Drosophila melanogaster: one gene and its partners. The protein of the gene in region 2 purifies or fractionates together with the protein of the main gene of each other region. This does not show direct contact. Each region holds a gene or a part of one and is shown on either strand. Other genes may lie near its edges. The genes, in order: CG5157, CG7423 and CG14259.

Evidence for each region.
Region 1: the proteins of CG7423 (region 2) and CG5157 purify together in Drosophila melanogaster (affinity purification with mass spectrometry, with the first as the bait; one large-scale study listed by BioGRID). This does not show direct contact.
Region 3: the proteins of CG7423 (region 2) and CG14259 purify together in Drosophila melanogaster (affinity purification with mass spectrometry, with the first as the bait; one large-scale study listed by BioGRID). This does not show direct contact.

What each region holds. Positions count from the first base shown.
Region 1 is NT_037436.4:16,135,866-16,139,918, reverse strand, and holds CG5157 (uncharacterized protein), read left to right. Parts: upstream 1-2,039; 5' UTR 2,040-2,857; coding exon 2,858-3,217; 3' UTR 3,218-3,432; downstream 3,433-4,053. Other genes in the region: elg1 (enhanced level of genomic instability 1), read right to left, coding at 3,453-3,723.
Region 2 is NC_004354.4:19,082,016-19,085,037, reverse strand, and holds CG7423 (uncharacterized protein), read left to right. Parts: upstream 1-1,747; 5' UTR 1,748-1,858; coding exon 1,859-2,233; 3' UTR 2,234-2,429; downstream 2,430-3,022. Other genes in the region: CG14191 (uncharacterized protein), read right to left, coding at 2,598-3,022.
Region 3 is NT_033777.3:27,092,782-27,096,478, forward strand, and holds CG14259 (uncharacterized protein), read left to right. Parts: upstream 1-1,751; 5' UTR 1,752-1,871; coding exon 1,872-1,998; intron 1,999-2,057; coding exon 2,058-2,307; intron 2,308-2,431; coding exon 2,432-2,565; intron 2,566-2,634; coding exon 2,635-2,993; 3' UTR 2,994-3,075; downstream 3,076-3,697. Other genes in the region: CG14258 (uncharacterized protein), read left to right, coding at 398-482, 554-800, 855-988, 1,045-1,355; eater, read right to left, coding at 3,143-3,198, 3,254-3,697.

The DNA of each region.
Region 1 (4,053 bases), on a different chromosome or scaffold from region 2:
TTTAAGTTATGTAACATTATTTCCATTCGTCGCTTGATAAAAGTAATAAGTCGAGAACGTTTTTGTAAAAACCAAGAAAGCAACAAACTTGAAAGAGACAGACACAATACCATAAAAACTGAAGAAAGGGAATGAGGAAAGTAAATAACAACACATAAGTGAATATGTAATTGTAATTTTATGAATGAATATTGTATACACTTTAGTTTCAATAACTCTAGTTTTAAATCGAAGCCAACCAACTCTTAACTATACTCTATCCCCCACCCCCACCCCCCTATCCAAATCCCCTTATCCCCTATTATTATTGTACGCAAGGCCCATGTGCTGGAACACACGAAAACACACACAAACAAACAATTTTTAGTTCAATTGAAATTTGTATTTGTATATTTGCTAACGGAATTACGATGTAAAGAAAAAAAAAAACAAAAAATGAAATGAAATCTATGTAAACCAAATTGTAGAGAAATTATTGTTTTCATTTTAAATTGGCTGCAGCTAATCTTGATTTCGGATTTTAGCGGGATACATTTTGAATTTTAAATTTAAAACGTAACGATCGATGAAACTGAAGTTATCGATAACCAATTGCAGTCTGGCAACAACGGGCGATCGTGCATTTTCAAGTGTAACTCTGGTCGAGTTTTGGCGGTTTATTTAAAATTAGATTGGCATTATATTTTTACGTTCTGAGTTTAGGAAAATCAAAGAGTTAAGAAAAAGTCCCATTGCAATGTATATTATAAGCACAATTAAGCAACTCAGAGCTTTTATTGTTTAGATATCCAGCCTTATTTATTAGTCTATAATTTCACGAATTTCTGAAATTCCAAAAATGCGTAATTTTTCAAACAACCCGTGCACCTTGTTGCCCCAAACATTTTATATTGAAATTATCAAAGAGAAGGAAAAACAAAAAATGGTTTCAAGAACTCACGATCCATTAAATCAAGTTTAAAACACATTTAACCAACAATTTAGATGAGAAATGGAATGCGAGAAACTAGGAAAATATGATAACAAATGCAAAATAATGGAAAACGAAAACACTTTACTACGCCAACAAGTCCTACAAGCCTACATTTTAAATACATAACGATATAGTTCGATGTCTATGGATCAAAGAATACTTAAAGTAATGCAACCGGAAATAGCCCGAAATATCACAGAACGAAGAGAAAACCGGAGACAATGAATAACTAAATTAAACGCGTAGAATTTAATCACTTAATTAGTTCTAAACAAATTAAGTCCAGCTAAATATCGAAGCGATTAAACTCGTTTGATCGGAGAATCATATACACATTTATACAAACAGGCCTAATTTCAACTACCTCCAAAACTGTTTTTTAAATTAAAAATTAAATTCTAAACGAAGATCAAGTCTACGAATTATGTTTAGCGAAACTAAACGGAAACTAAGTAAATCAAATGAAATGAAACAAATCGATTAAATTATAGTAAATCAATTGATTGAATTACGATTTTTTTAAATTCAAGCAGATCGATTAATTCAATAAATCAACAATCATTGACAAGTAATTAATTTTACACTTTATATATACGATATTTATTACTATATTGTATCTGTACGTTTAGATCGAGAATACAAATGAAAGCGCACACGAGCTGCGTTTCGAAAATGCAAAACCGTCGACTGATATATATAAATATATATATAACAAAAGCTAAATAAATAAAGTAAATAACAAGAAAAGTATAGAGATTCATTTGTAAATACACCGAATGCAGGACAATGCGCTGCGGAGCATTATGTTAATGTAACCACACCCAATCCCAAACAGTTTCTCAACAACTTTTCGAAACCATCCGAGATCAAAATCATCCCATCTACCATCTCCCACTTCCCAGAAAATCGAATTTGATTTTTGATCCCTGCAGGCAAAGTGCACCCAATACTAGCGAAATTTTTTAAAGCGCATTATGCAAAACGTCTAATATACAAAAATCGGAATAAAAATCGATATATATCTAAATACATATATATATTAATTGAATACCAATTATTGTTGTTGTCTCATATAAAACGCAAAAGCATTAAAAGCAAAAAAACAAAAATGGGAAAAATGAAAGCAAATTTAAAATATATTTCCAAAATATATAGAACATAACTATGAAAACATAAAAACCGTTTTTTCTTTAAGCAACCAAATTTGTTGTCAACTGGAAACTTTTAGCTTTGATTGGCACTTGACACACATTATTGCATTTTGGGTTTGACTGATTGTACGATATGAACCCTGCAATGTTCCAGTTATCAATAAATGGTGTCGAAGTTAATGGACATAACTAACTCAAAGAAAATTCCCACCATAAATTACTCAACGGGAAGTGTTCAAGTGAATCATAAACTGTGCTTAGATTTCACCAACGATAGAAACCCACTCAATGACAACTCGCGCCATCCATTTGCATTAATGATTTGCACAAATCCCACCCAAAAAAAGGAGATTGGTCACTGCCCACACTAGTAGCAGGTCGCCTTGAAAGACGGTGAAATTCTCACGTATTTCTTATCAACCACAATGCAGACAGATTGTGGAAATAACTGAAATAAAACAGCAAATAGTAATTGCCCGTCGAGGGGGAAATGGGGGAGAACAGGTACAAGGCAAGTACAAGCGATCTAGGCGATTGTTTGAACTATTGATAAATGTTAAACATAAGCAAGGGTCGCCCCTTGGCACGCGTCCAGTGTTTCCGAGTCCGTCCAACGGTTAACAGCTCCTAAAATTATCGAATCAAGAGCGCGACTTATTAAACGCAAATTAACAGCAGCCATTAAAAGACATTCGCGAACAGCGGAAAGCAATTAGGAAATCAAATCAGCAATATGTCACAGTTGTACGAACTCTCGGAGGTGGCCCAGCAGAACGGCAAGAATGGCAAACCCTGCTGGCTGATCATCAAGGGGAACGTGTACGATGTAACCAAGTTCCTCGGCGAGCATCCTGGCGGCAGTGAAGCACTACTCGAATATGGCGGCAAGGATGCCACCAAGGCCTTCAAGCAGGCAGGCCATTCCTCCGACGCAGAAAAGGATCTAAAGAACTACAAAATCGGAGAAATCAACTCAGCTGCACCCATTCAAGTGCAGCCAACGTCCAATGGTGCAGCAAAGCCGACGGCAAACACAATATCCGAAGATCCCGAACCCGCGAAGAATAGCTCCTCCGGTTTCTGTTGCTGCTAGTCATAGGTTTACATGTCATTTGATTGATTTATTAACATAGGATGAGGTCGTAGTTAGTTTATCATAGTTAAATTGTAAATAGTTCTAGGTTTATCTCATAATAGCTACATCTTCATGTCCACAAAGCTATCTTAAAAAAGATCAACTCTTCTTAAACGATCTGAATAAATTGCAAACAAAGCCGGCGGAGCTGCTCCACCAATTTCAAAAAAATTAAACTAAATCCAAACGATGCCTAATCTTTCGGTTCGGCCTCCATGGTTGGCTCGCTGCTGGGGGCAGCCGATTGGAACGTACTGCATGCAGTGTCAAAGTAATCCGTCGTGAAACTGGTCACGTTTACCGTGTGGTTGCGCAGATAGTGATAGAATCTACTCGACTTCCGTTCCAGTCCTGCCCGTTCCTTTTCGCTGCGGCATATGGAGCGCAGGGCGGGCTCGAAGTCCAGCGATTTGGCGGAGTCGGAACGGAGAACTCCGTTGCCCAGGTGCTGGCAAATTGAAAACCTGGAAAGATTACAGAAAGTTATAAAAAATGAAAAAATTAAAGCATAACTAAAATAAGTTTGGTATCTAATTAGTGAAAAGTCTGGGCACTAATTTAATGAATAGGTGTGTTCCTAAGATAGTTATAAGATCGGTCATTTTTATGACAAGGCTATTAGAATTCCGAACGCTAAAGATATCTTGTGACTAGTTGTTATTATGACTGCTGGATGATAACAAAACCCCGGTTTCCTTTTTCCATCGATTACTGCCATGACAGCTAATTAAGTTAGCATTATTAAGCCTTAAAATGTGTTTAAAGCAAAATAGATATAGATACAGATAGATATT
Region 2 (3,022 bases):
GGTGCAGTCATTGTCATTGCCACGAAAGTGGGTGCTGCTTGGTGGGTGGGTGTTGAAAATGCAAAACAATTTCAGGCGAATTAGCGTAATTGTCTCGCCGCTGCTGTTGCTTCGGCTTCTGCTTCTTCTGAGACAAAAGGGCCAAGGAGAAAGGAGAAAGTGGATAGGATAGAGGGGGGAGAAGAGAAAGGAGGAACAGCAGCAGGACTCAAGCTACTTAATCCTCTAATTTGTGTGACTGTGTGTGTGAGCCGCGCCCCTTTTTCTGGGCTTTCTCTAGCCCGGGCGAAGCAAAGTTTGCCCTCATTTATATGCAAAAATGTAAACCAAAAAATCAGCGAGAATGTTAAATCCAACAAAATGCATTTAACACATAAAAATTTGCATAGAAAGTGCCTTCGGTAAGCGCCCCGCCTTACCCCCAACCTCTAACCGTCACCACGATTTCCCCATCCAGAAAACCCCATTCCATTCCTACGAGTTCTGTTTTCGCATACCGCACTATCTAAGTGCGAGCAGCAGAACAATTGAAGTTAATTTTATTTTTATTTTTATTTCCGGCACCCGCTACTTGAGTATTATTATACTAAGCCTTAGAGTGTGTGTGGCTGCCACGCCCCAATTTAAGTAGTTGTTTCGGCTAACATCCGCTTAAAATGCGCCCTTCTATGCGCTTCTCATTGTGTTCACGTTATAGATACAAGCCCTTTAATTTGCTAAGTTCCATTTGTTATAACATATGATATATTAAACTTCAACTACATTCTTTGAATTCAGCTTACCTTATATTTAAACTCGTCCTTCTATGCGCTTCTCAATTTTTTCGCCTTATAGATACAATCCACTAATTTTAGTAATAACCGTATATGGTATCTTAAACGTAAACTATTTCGTCTTTAATCTCCGCTTAATATACGCTCTTCTATGCGCTTTTCAAAGCATTTACGTCCTGGGTCCACTCCGTTGAATTTGCTATATCCTATTTCTAGGAACCGCTGGTATCTCAAACTTCAACTACCTAAACTCGGTTGCTGTTAAAGTGCGCTCTCCTTAAGATTTCAACTTGTTGGACACTTTTTAACGTTTCACTTTCGGAATGGTAATCTTTGCCCATCCCGATACTCATACCCCATTCTCTGCCATTTTATATCTGTCCGTTTCTTATTATGTATTTGTAACCAATTGGTTGCCAAAACCCCCCGCTCTGCATTCACGCTCAGTCAATTTTTTGTTGCCACTGCCGCTGCTGCTGCTGCTCGTGTGTCCTTTGTGTTGTTGCTGTTATTGCATGTGTTGAGATTCTCATGGAAATTTGCATACAAATTGCGTCTGGCGCGTAGGAAGCCCTACCATTTGGTGGGCGGTGGCGGGCTATATGTACCATGAACACTGACTGGAGGACGGGGACAGATGGCCCGACATGCGTATGGGGTTAACGAAGGGTTAACACAACACAAAAAACCAAAGCCCGAATGAAAAAACACAAATATAAAACATTGCCAACAACGGCAGCACCTGACAACTGTCAAATTCTGTGGGTTACCATCGATAAATAAAATGGGGGACAATTTTATGACGACGGGACGAGGTCATAGAAAACTTTGACAGATTCAATGGGATGTATGTTGTTATAGTTTTAAAAGCACCTACAAACGGCAAACTTTTAATGCCTCTAATTGCTTGCCGAACGCAGCTTTAACGATGTAAAAGGGCACTTTTGTTTAGGAACACAAACATCAAAGTAACCCAGCACGTCAACTTTAGAATTGAGCATACGTACGTACTACTATTGAAATCATTAGATTTTATGAATCGCATTGCTTAAAATACGGATAAAAACTGAGTCAAACGGATCACGATGGGCGATGGACACAAAATCGAGGACATCATCTGGACAATCAAGAACGGCGTGTACGACGAGGTGGAGCGAATTTTCCTAGCCGGATCGCTTAATGTGAACGATCAGATGGGCGTCCGGTTCCCCTTGCACTACGCCGCCGACTTTGGCCAGCTGAAGCTGCTGGAGTTCTTTGTGCGGATCGGCGCGGAGGTGGACAGGAAGGACAAGTACGGCATCACACCGCTCCTGGCGGCCATATGGGAGGGGCATACACGCTGCGTCGAGTTCCTGCTCCGGATGGGAGCCAGCCGCACGGAGCGCACGCCCGAGGGGCAGAGCTACGCGGAGGCCGCCGAGCAGGAGGACATTAGACGGCTCCTGGCGCGGGACTGAGGTCCTTGGGGATGTCCTCGTAACTCCTGACAGGGCATCATATATGGGAGATCCACCTATTGTACATTTTGCAAATTTTTAGTGTAACCTTTTGATAGGTTCATTTGCTAGCTGACTGATTGTAAGCGATGCATCAGCAGCTCTTACAATCTTGAAAACGAATTTTCTTGGAATTACAAGGTGGATTTATATCGAGAATCTCTATATCGGATTATTACTAAAAAAGAAACATTAGTTTCTGTTTTGATAGTGGAAATGGCTCTTCTATACCGCACTGTTTTATTGGTTAATGTTGGGAAGTATTTACAATTAAGGTCAGTGAGAAACAGTAACAAGTTAGTATCCGTTGACCAACGGAGAGCATTTACCAACTGCTCTGGGCCCAACCGCCCTGAGGAGCCCAACCGCCGGCGGAGTAGCTGGAGGCACCGCCGGAGGAGTATCCACCACCGTGACCACCGCCGTAGCCGCCGCCATACCCGCCGCTCGATCCGGCGTCGGAGATGACCTTGATGATCTTGACGTTGCCACCGCTTCCGTAGCCACCACCGCCGTATCCACCGCCGGATGACCAACCGCCTCCGTGGCCGCCACTGTAACCACCGGAGGAGCCGCCTCCGTAGCCACCTCCATAGCCACCTCCATGGCCACCCCCGTAGCCACCTCCGTAGCCACCACCACCAGCTCCGGAATCGGTGATCACCTTGATGATCTTAATCGTGCTGCCGCCTCCGTGGCCACCGCCGCCGTAGCCACCACCGCCGTAGCCACCACCGCCGTAGCCACCAC
Region 3 (3,697 bases), on a different chromosome or scaffold from region 2:
TATAGAATAGAATATATGTCTAAGTATCTAGATATATGTATTATGACAGTACTTTACAACTGGAAATGGAGTCGCCGGCGAGGCAAAGGCTAAGTAATATTATAAAAATTAATGCATTTTCGAGCTAGGGTATCGCATCAGATGAATCGAAAGATTTGGGCACCCTGTACGACCACAACAAGTCTAATGCGGCCAAACTCGTTTACTTACTAATTGTACCGAAATAAATAAAATAAATATATATAAATCGGCAAAACAAAGAAATGATTTTAAAAGTTATACATTCGAGCGGTCCATTTCGAATAAAATTACCGGCGGCCAGACAGAATCGTCATTTCAATCAGAGCATTCAAAGAAAACGGTTCTAGTCATCACATTTTGGAATAAAATTATCAAGATGCTTATTAAAGTTGCCAAGTTCCTGAGTATTGTAGCCGTACTCCTTTCAGCAGTCGAAGGAGCTAAATATCTGGCAGAGAAACGTAATAAACATTTAATACAACATATTTTGGTTGAGTTAAGTTAATAATATTCTTAAATGTACAACTTTCAGCCGACTTCCTAATCCCATGTATCGTGGGCGATCCCAACTTTAATGTCTGTCTGACCAAAAACTTCCAGAGTTTCTTCCGTCAGTGGAAGGACGGAATTCCCGGCTACAATGCCGTGGGATCCTTTGATCCTTTTTACATCAAGAGAGTGAAATTTACCCAGGATGCCAGCAGGTCTATAGCTATCAATGCCGATCTGAAGGAAGTCTATGTAGCAGGTGCTGGTCAAGCATTAGTCTTGGAATCCAGGTAACCTATTTAAAGATTCTGACGAAATCAAGTTTGACCATTAAAAATTCTCAGCTGGGATCCAAATCACTATGTAGCCAGGACTTTGATTTCCGTGCCCAAGTTGCGTTTCAATTTCGATTACAAAGTCAAAGGACACGTCTCAGCGCTGAATCTCAATGGTCATGGCAAGGGATACTTCGAAGCTGGTAAGATGCAATCTACAATTTATGCGAATTACTATCTTAAAGCCGGTTTTATTCAGAAAATGCTCTGTTATTGTTGGAATTGGCTGTCAAACCGCTGGCCACCTCAGATGGTTATTTCGCTGATGTGCAAAGTGTAAAGGTAAATTTCCGCGAGATCAAGCAATTCCGCATCAAGCTGGAAAATCTCTTTGGCGGCAACAAGGATCTGGAGGATACTGCACACATTTTGTTCAACGAAAACTGGCGCGACTTCTTTGAGGTACTGCGTCCGGCGGTGGAGCAAACAGTTGGCGGAGTGCTTTTGGATCGGTTCAAGAAGACCTTTGTCTATGTACCAGCTACCTATTTGATTAAAGACTTTCACTAAATGCTAAATTAGCATATAATCCGGTACTTCTATGTTATTTTAATGGGTTCGTGTGCTCTGTCGTTTTGTATTAAATGGGTAGTAGTGTATGCTTGATTTATTTTTTGGTGGCACTGTATTAGAATTATATTACAAATTATTTTCATATCTTTGCATTCAAAGTGCTTCTATTATATTTTCATCTTTAGATACTTTTCTCACTGTATACTCGCTATTAAGTCAGGAAATAGGTGAATTAAAATGATATTATATTCAGCAACATGAGTTGCTCTTGGCCCCGGCATCGTTAGGTTGCTGTAAGTCGTTACCATATATGAGAACCCAAATCTCGAATCTTGGCAGTTGAGAATAAAACGCCGGATCACAGCAAGTCGCCGGCTAGTCGGTTTCAAAGCGTGACACTGTTTGATGTGACTGAGCAGCGGCTGCCTAGACCGCGATACGTCTACAGTACTATTCGCTGAGCTACTTAGATACTTAACTACTTGATTAATAAACAGTTGCCAAAACGACACCATGAGCAGCACGCGCTACGGCCGCACTTTGCTCGGCATTTGGAGTGGATTATTGGCCATTTTGTGCCTGAATGAAATCGCCATGGATAGGTCGTTGGTTTCAGCCGTTGCCTACTACTCCGAAAAACGTAAGTAGATGTCCTCAGAGTCGCAGTTCTTTTCAATGTTAGCAAATCGTGTTGCTCAGCTGCCTTTCTGCCATCTTGTCGGATCTACGAACCGGGCTTCACCAAGTGCTCTACGAATAGCATTCAGAAGCTTCTTGATCAGTTGAACATTGGAATACCAGAGGTGCTCGAGCGGTTCGGTCCCTTTGATCCCATGAGAGTTAGGGATATAGTTTTCAAGCAGGATAACAACGAGGTGGCCACCATCAGAGCCAATCTGACTGACCTGGTGGTCAAGGGTTTTGCCAACACAAAGGTCAAGGAGAGTCGGTGAGTACAAAGAATATGAAAGTCCTACAGATAAATTATGTATATTTATACTGCTGCTTTTGGAGTCAATAAATCTCTGCAACTTTGCGGAACAAATATATAAATATCTTTTTTCGACCACCAGTGTGAGCAAGAAAGACTTTAGCTGGCAGACCAAAATATATCTTCCGAAAATGAGACTGGATGGAAGGTATGAAATGGCTGGACGAATACTCCTTATACCACTGAGTGGCTCTGGCAAAATATTTATTGAGATTGGTAATTAGATTTCTATCGATATTTAAATGCGGGTGCAAATGGGCAGCTAACACTTTTAAATTCCCGCAGATGATCTTGACATTTTGCTACTAACAAAAATACGTCTGTATGAAAAGGGTGGCTTCACCTTCGACAACGTGACCGCTGTGCAGGTTCAACTGAATCTGTCCAAAGTGCGCACTTATCTGGACAATCTATTCAATGGACGTAGCAAGGAGGTGGAGCGCAGTACGAATGAGTTTTTCAATGAAAACTGGCGGGATTTCTACGAGGCCCTGAAACCACTCATCGTTGAGACGGTGGAAAATATCCTTTATGATGTAATGTCTACGGTTTTTCATTTAATACCAGCCAACTTTTTCGTTGAGGACATACCAACGCCCCAGCAACTTTATGGTCCAAAGGAGATACTTGGCAAAAAAGAATAGTTGAGTGATATCTATTATTGTTAACTTGTAGTACGCCATCCCCAAATTCTTTCAATATTTGTAATAAAAATCATTAACGAATATCCATTTTTCATTTTATCAGTAACTTTTATTGTATAATGAGAATATTGCTGACTTCCCGCTAAAGCTCAGGCTCGAATGATATCAACCTTATTGGGAGAGAAATATACACCGAACTCCCTCTCTGAAAACGAGAAAAATCATTAAGTTATTCAAAAACTGTTTGAAACATGGCTTACCATTCTTGTCCACGTGATATGAGCGTTTCCTAAATATATAAATAATCAGCATGGTGGTTATTATTGCCAAGATGAAGGCCATAGAAACAATCGTTATAAATACCCACTTCAAGTGTCTTTCACTCTTTTCATGGCCTGTAAGGGACCCAAGTGAATCCATAGATTGGCATGAGTATCCATCTATCGGACTCTCACCATCCCAGCAGACACAAGAACCCGGAAATTCGCAGAGCCCATTGAGGCACTCGGGTTCGCAAATCGGAAGACAGATCAAATTGTTGTCGTCCTCATTCCTATGCAGCTTATATTGTTTACTACAAGTACAAATTCCTTCGACGCAGGTTCCATTTCGGCAGTTCTTATCACAATCTGAATAATCCCCAAGTAGCTCCTTGTCAAGCTGGCAACTTTTACTTTCTTCAACGAAAATGTAACCGTCATCGC